Nothobranchius furzeri: one gene and its partner. The protein of the gene in region 1 binds, or shares a complex with, the protein of each later gene. Links are inferred from orthologs where the notes say so. Each region holds a gene or a part of one and is shown on either strand. Other genes may lie near its edges.

Region 1 (4,373 bases):
AGTGTACTTCAAACTGGTTCACCGGGGCTGTGCGGTGCTCTGCCCGTAGCACAGTAGCTGTGGTCATAGAAGTCAACTGCTATGCTCATAGAACAGTGGCTATAACTACAACCACAGACCCAGCCCGCCTAATGAGTACCACTGGCCTATGAGCTTGACCCTCCCATAGTCCAGTCAGAATTGACAAAGCTCCTCTGGTAAGAAGCAAAACGCCTTCAAGAAGCAAGTAAGTCCAGTTGCCTTCACCAACACAGGGAGGTTGTGATGTCATACTGAACAATCAGAAACGTCATGATGATAGTGGTAATGCTAATGTGTTGTACATTTTATAAGGGGATATGTCAAGTCTCAGTTCTGGAGCCTCAAATGAAAAGAAGCAAAGGGCACACGAACACACACACAAACACGGTTCTACCTGCCTCACACCCACACATCCCACAAAACAATCAATTAAATTCACATCGACAATCATGATTCTTGTAGCAGCAGCAACATGTTTTGATAACATGATTTCCTTAAACAAAACAAACCAAACCCACATTAGTCCAGATTAGACCCCTCCAAACCTCTGAGGAACTGTACACCTACAAACACGCCAGAGCCTGGACACGAGCTCACCTGTGTTGGAGCGCCGACGAATGCCAAAGTCCCAGCTGGAGGTGATGTCCATGGACTGAGACAGCTCGCACGTATGACCGTCCACCATGCCACTGCTGTTTTCACTGAGAGAGTTTGAACCAGAAGATCCACAGCTGCTGCCAGGCACCAGAGTGAGCTGGCACTTCTCCAGATCCACATCCTGGTCTATTAATACCATCTCACACATTCCCGTATCATCGCTGGTCACGTGGGACTGTCTGATGTGGGCTAGAATGATGGCCGGATTGTCCAAGAAAGCCATTTCTAGTGCTTTACAAACAGCTTCACTCTCTGCTGAATGAGGCTCTCTCTTCAGTTTTTATTCAGCAATGTTGAAGCAGCAACTGATGATACGCAGAGAGGAATCATCTCTTCCCTCTTGTTCTCCTTACTTCTCCTTCAACTCCATTAGACAAGTCCCACTACCTGTTCAGAATGAAAAACTTAATCCACAAAGCAGGATAAAATTAAGAATCAGGACTGGTAATACATAAAAATTAATATTAATAAAATATTTTGTTTATATTAGTGTTTTGAATAGTTTGCATTGTGATACATCAATTCAAAGATACTTTAATCCCAGCGCTGCAGGAAGAAGAGTGTAGTAGTTATGATGAGAAGCTCTAATTTCTCATAAATATATAAACTGAGCTGAATTCTTGCAGTTTCACTGAGATGACAGTTTGTTACTGGGCACACCGGGCTGCTATGGATGGACATAAACAGAGAATACAACAAAAACAAAATAGGTTTCACACTCAGCTTATCTGAATATTGTTCATAATCTAGTCAGAAACATCAGTTTCTTTTGTTGACACTGAACGACCATGTTGTTAAATTGAACAGATAAACACCATTAGCAGGGTGAACATAGTCACATCCCATAACAGACAGAAATCACGAGATTTGCAGAAGCCACTCATATGTATTCCGCAAATCATAGTATGCTGACGAAGACAACTATACAGGCCATAAAGAGAAATGTCAATTGTTTTCTTTTGTCACATTTCCTATAAGCACAATAAAAATCTACAGTTGACAACTTTACTTGTTATTATAGTCATATCTCCATTTGCACGTGTCTACAATGTGATATCCACAATTATGTGAGAACGTGTTTCAGTTGCTAACAGGCACCAGAATTTTAATGTTGGGAAAACTGTCAACCTACGCCGCTGTTACGTTGATATGTGTTCCCCCCTCTATTTCTGCTTCTTTTGCACCCAGCTGCAAATGGAAACAAACCAAACACAAGAAATAACCCTCACCCTAACCCTTACCCTAACCATAACCATAACCACCCTGGCACCAAAAATGTATGTTTTGCATAAATATATATATTATAAATATTATGTGTAGCACAATTTTTATGCTTGTTTCAGGGTTATGGTTAGGGTAAGGGTTAGGACACATTTTTTTGCGAGTGGATGATTCAAACTCGCTGCTGAGTGCCAAAGAAACAGATCTCGGGGGGGAGACACATATCAACGCAACTTCTAGCTGCTGCGTCCGTCTGCTTCTATCTGTTTTCCAGGCGAGGCGCTGCTCATCTCAAACAAGGCCAATGTCTATGGTGGCTGTTGCGTGGCTGGATGCCACCGCCACGATTTGAGCTCGGCCCTGCTGTTTTAACCTTACACTAACGAAAAAAACCAAACTTGGTTAGCAACGGTCACATCTGAAAGTCAGTTCCAGGAACAACTTTAGCTATTGCTAACATCGACAGGTGACAATTTTCAGTGTCGAGTTTTCACTTTACCCAAAACAGTTCGTAAATAGTTTTGTTATGACTTTATTTTACGTTAAAGGCTTGTTCATTACGTTTGTACAAACGTTTAAAATATCCAGGCTGAACATTCAGGCTCAGCTAGAGTTAGCCTCCCAGCTCTTCTAACCTTCAACATTAGCGTAAAACTCAGAAGTAGCTAAGCCTTCCGTCGACAGCTAAATGTAGCAGCAATCTTTGCAATTTACACCCAGGCCGTGTCACTTCAAATGAGTAAGACGAAAATCAGCTGTGGTGTTTGAGAGAACACTGGACCTAACCTGGAATCAGAGTCAGGGTAGTTAGCCGCTCTCACTGCAGTCAAAACAAGGAGCTTCATGAAAGGCCTCGATGAGAAAGAAAAGTGTTCACAACACAAGTCTTCTTCTCCATGAAAAATAAACTCAAAAGAAAACACTACTTTACTATTTTAAATATTGTAAAATCACAACACTATCTGGAAGCCCGTTTTAATCTGTAGTGCTCAGTGCACTGCTCACCCATGGTAAATCCATTTTTACTTCCGGGTAAAGATTTTCAGAATAAAATATCTACTTTCAATGCACTTTTTGTTTTAACACCATCAACGTGCCTTTTTAAAACTTATTTTTGTTTTCTGTCGATGGGTTGCCGATGTATTACACAGCCATGTCTTCACAATTTCCTGAAAGAAACATCTAGGATTTATTTTATGTGATGGCAAGACCGAAATTTCCAAGTGTAACACCAATACTTTGTAAAACATAAATGTATTTATTCGTTCATTTATTCATTTGTTCATCATTCATTCATTTATTTTTCCAGTACAAATTTGTAATAAAAAATACAAACCGAGCAGGACTACTCACATCAAATGAAACCTCAGAGATCCTCTTTTTGATGACACAAACCACTCTGACACAACAACCACGGCTTTGACACTTAAGCCTTTTTTAAAGTCAAGCAAAAACTTTAAGAGTTGGCTTCTCCTACCTTTGAGGCTCTCTGCAAGTCAAACTTTAACTCATTAGTTTAAGTTTTACTGGCATTATCCTGTTACACAATAACACTGCAATATTCATTATGTGTTCAATACTCGTGCAATACTGGATTTCCATTGCATGTCTGTGTCTCTTGCAGAATGCTGCATAGTTTTGGAACCCAAATTTTTTAATTTTTTATTCATGGTTTTAGTGGTCGAAGGTTACAACACTAGATGCCTATGTGTATATACATGTACCTTAAGGATGCACCGGCAGCAGGCCGATACCGGTATCAGTGAAAGTTAACCAATACCAGGAACCGATACCAATGCAGTTCAATCAATCAATCAAAGCTTTATTTATAAAGTGCCTTCCGCAACCCTGTCAGGAAGCCCAAAGCACTGAACATGGTACAGTTGTAAGTAAATATATTGAAAAAATCAGGACTGGTAATATATAAAAATTAATATTAATAACACACGGGGTGGGGGTGGTCGATGTGCATGTTGTGTGCGGTGGGGTTTGCTGGCTTAGTGTGTTGGCTGATGTGGCAGCAATGAGCCTTTTAGGCATCCAGCCTGCCTAAATTACTGAAGAAGGCTGTGCCATCAGTAGCCTGGGAGACAGCAGTGCAGGGGTCTTGCTGTCCTCCAGGCCTCAGAGAACGAAAGAGAGAAGAAGTGTGGAACGAACACCACGGGGAAAGGAGCCCTGCCCCCCCCCCCCCCCCCACGCTATTTCTGTCAAGCCAGACAGAATAGCTGAAGTGCAACCAGCTTACGCAGACTCGTCCCAGAGTCTTTGATTTCTGAGTTAATTTAAACTTGAGAAAGCGCATCTGCCGAACGCTTCAGCAACGTGTACCGAGGTCAACCCGGGACTGGGCTGCCACACATCTTCGTCTTCTCTGCCAGCCCAGGTGTCTTCTGGATAACACATCCTCCGGGGTCCGGATCTAAAGGGGGTCCTGAGTACGGTGAGGCAGAACACGATAGATAACGTTTTGA
Region 2 (3,818 bases), on another chromosome or scaffold:
CGCATCAGTGAGTTTGCGGCCGCTGCGCAGGGGGAGGGGGGAGAGGGCTGAAGCAGAAACTACCGTTGTTAAAAGAAATGTGTTTAACTTTGTGAGCGCAATTTTAATTGTCAAAAACTCCAGCGAACCATTAGTTCATTTTGCTCAAATAGAAAAAGAGGCCTGCCTCTAATTCTGGCCCTCCTTCCAATAAAGGCCTGGAGCTTGATGAGCTTGAGTCAAATACAGGCCCGGGCCTGTATTAGAGAATTTACGGTAATTTAACTTGATTATCACAAGAGCCAGGCGCACTGCACCGGCGCACTGCACCGTTATTTCCGTCACTGTAAATGAGGGAAAAACAAAATGATCGGATCCTTTCCTGACCTTCCCCACCTACAAAGTTTAATTACAACAATCGAACGTGACAGAGCCTGGATTTGTATTCTGAACAGTCTAAACATGTTTTAAAAAGAAACGTATGACAAAAGTGGCACCTGCTCAGTAAAACCACCAACAGGGTGAAAAATATCTAAATATTGTAGGCAGAGACGGGCTACAACTTCTGGATCCATTTTATATAAATCGTTTTATTGATTATCGTCTTATGAAAGATAACTTTGACGTACACGAGCGGCCGGTACTGGCTGCTGTCACCTGTTGTGATTGGTTAAAGCAGCTCTCTGCTGTCTGAGGGTAGGCCCCGCCCACAACGCCGCGGCTGCTGTGGCTCCCAGTGTTTTCTTTACTGTGGGAAACGGGTAATAATGGCTCTTTGATGGGAACAGGTTGCCGACCCCTGGGATAGGTGAACAAAGCTGCAAGAAATTAGTCACCATGGCATTAATTTCCCCCACACCAGAAGGCACCGTGATTCACCCCGGGTCAGGGACCAGGAATTTATGTGTTTAGCGATCACTCCATCAGCCAGTTAGCTTCCTAAGGCCATGCTCACACCACACACACACACACACACACACACCACACACACACCACACACACACACACACACACACACACACACACCACACACACCACACACACACACACACACACACACACACACACACACACACACACACACACACACACACACACACACACACACACACACACACACACACACACAGCACTGGATGAGACACCACAGCTATCCTTCCAACCCCCAGTCACAGTGACCAGTAAGCAGAATCATTAACCCGCTAAGTAATTACCGACAGTTTGTCCTTTCATGCAGACACCTTGACACAAATTAACTGATTTGCTGATTATTTATCGCGCCGGTTCCTTTGCAGGTGGGCCTAATGATTTAATTTCACATATCCATGACAAAGTAGCATGCAATGATCACATTATCCCCCATAAATAAAAAATTCAATTAACCAAAGAGGATTTAATGATGCTCAGCACATTAGGTGGTAAATTTCCCAGCAACGTTATTATAAAAAGACCATTAGAGATAGTAAAAGTGACACAAATCAACAGCACCACGTGATGCAATCACATTTCTTGCCAAATTGAAGAAACCCTCCCAAAGACATCTGTCAACATAGCAGGGGTCTGACGTTCTCCGACATGATCAATTAAAAGGATAAAGATGAATTTGGCCTGCAGTGGACAAGTGAGGAGGCTCTGTGTGGGCACTCACCTGTCTCGTTTTGGCTGAGGTCTCAATAAAGGGAATGTTGTAGCTGCGTGCTAAGTCCTGAGCCTGCTTTGTGTCCACCGTTCGGGATGGGAGGTCACACTTGTTCCCCACCAACACCATGGGGACGTCCTCAGAGTCCTTCACCCGCTTAATTTGTTCTCTGAATGTTCAAAAACAGATTTTAAATCAACATAAAACGGTTTGTTAGTCTGAATGATCTAACTGATCACCAGAGTTTCTATGCTAACAAAGTTCTAATGAAACATGATAGTTTTCATTTAAGATTATGTTCCAAAAACTCCAAAAAACTTTTATTCAAGTAGGATTCAAAATACATTTTCATGGTTTTCCTTACATCTTGTGTTGATGTTTGCTCTCAATGACTATTTTAGTTCCTCCTCCTAACTCACCTATAGTGGTGAATGTCCTCAAAAGACTTTGAGTTGTTGATGGCAAAGACACAGAGGAAGCCCTCCCCTGTCCTCATGTACTGATCTCTCATGGCGCTGTACTCCTCTTGACCTGCCGTGTCCAGAATATCCAGCAGACACGTCTCTCCATCGATCACCACCTGCTTTCTGTAGGAATCCTGGGATCGTAAAGAGCAAAAAATAAATAAATAAACTACCAAAATCTACAAAAGTCTGTCGAATAGGGATGTAAGAAAATATTGGTTGATATTGATAACAACTGCCTAATATTATTGCTTTTGATGTTTTTCTAATGATTAGATTTTATGATATATTATATATTAAACAATACTGTGAATAATGTGCTGAACCTTGACTGGAAGAAAATTATAACTGAACTGAAATCTCAATTTCTCAGATAGAAATCACAATTCAACCTTTATCTTAAAATCATACAGTTCTAGCACCTACACTCATAACTTTGAAGAGTAGTTAAGCTTCTGTTTTGGGTTGCTAACTGATACAAGCTAGGGTCCAAATACCAATACTCACACTGCGCCCTACGGTCTTCAGCAAAGTGCACTTGGTAGAAGTGCGCAGTAAGGTTTTGCGTGTGTGGTAAACAAGTGAGCAATTGCCGAATTGGGAAAGTGAACATTGCGTCATCGACCACAACGCATCAAGGTCGTTGACTGTACTACTTTAAAAATAATCTTTATTAACCACTTTCAAACAAACACACCTTAATCTAACAGCTGAAACGCCTCCCAGCCTTCCTTAGTGTCTAGAGTGCTGATTCATCACTAAATTAAACAAATCAGCTGTGTTAATACAGGAAATGTGACAGACGCAGACTGCAGCGCCAGGTATGCACGCCCATTTTTTCCAACAGACCAGACCGGCAACTGTGAAGCTGCAAGTGGGATATTCTGGCCACAGGGGGCGCTAGGCCTTTCATTAACCCTGGAAAGGGTCATTTTAGCACATACTGGCTCAAGAAAATGATTTAAAAATATGAAAAAGTTGCTAAGTATCTCTTTTAAAATGCTTTAGAGAAAACTACCGTTACTGCAGCCCAAAAGTAATTCAGCTGACTAAAATGTCAGGAAGTGTCAAAATTGGGATTTGTGGCATAAACTGTTAAATTCATCTTTTAACATTACTAATATAATCTGGTTTTAACATCAAAGGTCATCTTATCATCTCCCCTTTTCAGTGATATATATCATATCGCCAGATTCTGGCCAATACACCAAGGAGGTTTTTAAAAAACAACAACAGGACTTACAGTGTTAGCCATGCTTCACTTATATGCTAGATTTTTACTCCTGGCCTGGGTATGATCTCACTGACCTTTTTTAATTCGTGAAAAACATGATACACATTTTTAATTGCTCAGCCCCGACTGTGTTAATGTCTCTGATGACATGTTTACATAAAAGATGCCACGGGACGCAGCTTCATTATCGCCCCTTTCTAGTTGTAGCGGGGCACTCTGCTTTCTAGAAGAGTTCAAATTACAGAGAGGTTTCTGTCAAAGCCCTTTTTCCATCACGCAGATGGCTGCCATCAATTGGATCCAACAGGAATAATTACAGACGAATCCAATGAGCTGCCATACTTTCAGATGCTATCTGGTGTCTGGGTAATTCATGGTAGAGCGCTAACCTGCCACAGCGTTTCAATAATTGATTGAAATCATGATGAGATTGTTCACACTGCATGTGGCTGGCACTGAGGAGCTTGGCCAGGAGCCAAGCATGAAAAGTCATTAAAAACCT

The links.
Region 2: the proteins of mapkap1 (region 1) and kras are in contact, whole or in part, in a crystal structure (PDB 7LC1), measured with the Homo sapiens proteins. The link is inferred for Nothobranchius furzeri from reciprocal best matches to the Homo sapiens genes MAPKAP1 and KRAS. Residues at the interface, in NP_001006618.1 of Homo sapiens: Phe280, His287, Gly288, Phe289, Ser290, Leu291, Ile292, Gln293, Lys307, Lys310, Arg311, Arg312, Lys313, Gly314, Ser315, Phe363, Glu365, Ile369, Val374, Met377, Leu378, Ser380, His381, Tyr484, Glu487, Ser488; in NP_001356715.1 of Homo sapiens: Ile21, His27, Val29, Glu31, Asp33, Pro34, Ile36, Glu37, Asp38, Ser39, Tyr40, Arg41, Leu56, Glu62, Glu63, Tyr64, Ser65, Ala66, Met67, Asp69, Gln70.

The regions. Positions count from the first base shown.
Region 1 is NC_091746.1:36,982,810-36,987,182, reverse strand, and holds the start of mapkap1 (target of rapamycin complex 2 subunit MAPKAP1), read right to left. Parts: upstream 2,901-4,373; 5' UTR 2,686-2,900; intron 1,066-2,685; 5' UTR 902-1,065; coding exon 619-901; intron 1-618. UniProt on the Homo sapiens protein: Component of the mechanistic target of rapamycin complex 2 (mTORC2), which transduces signals from growth factors to pathways involved in proliferation, cytoskeletal organization, lipogenesis and anabolic output.
Region 2 is NC_091744.1:73,818,982-73,822,799, reverse strand, and holds part of kras (GTPase KRas), read right to left. Parts: intron 2,217-3,818; coding exon 2,038-2,216; intron 1,788-2,037; coding exon 1,628-1,787; intron 1-1,627. UniProt on the Homo sapiens protein: Ras proteins bind GDP/GTP and possess intrinsic GTPase activity. Plays an important role in the regulation of cell proliferation.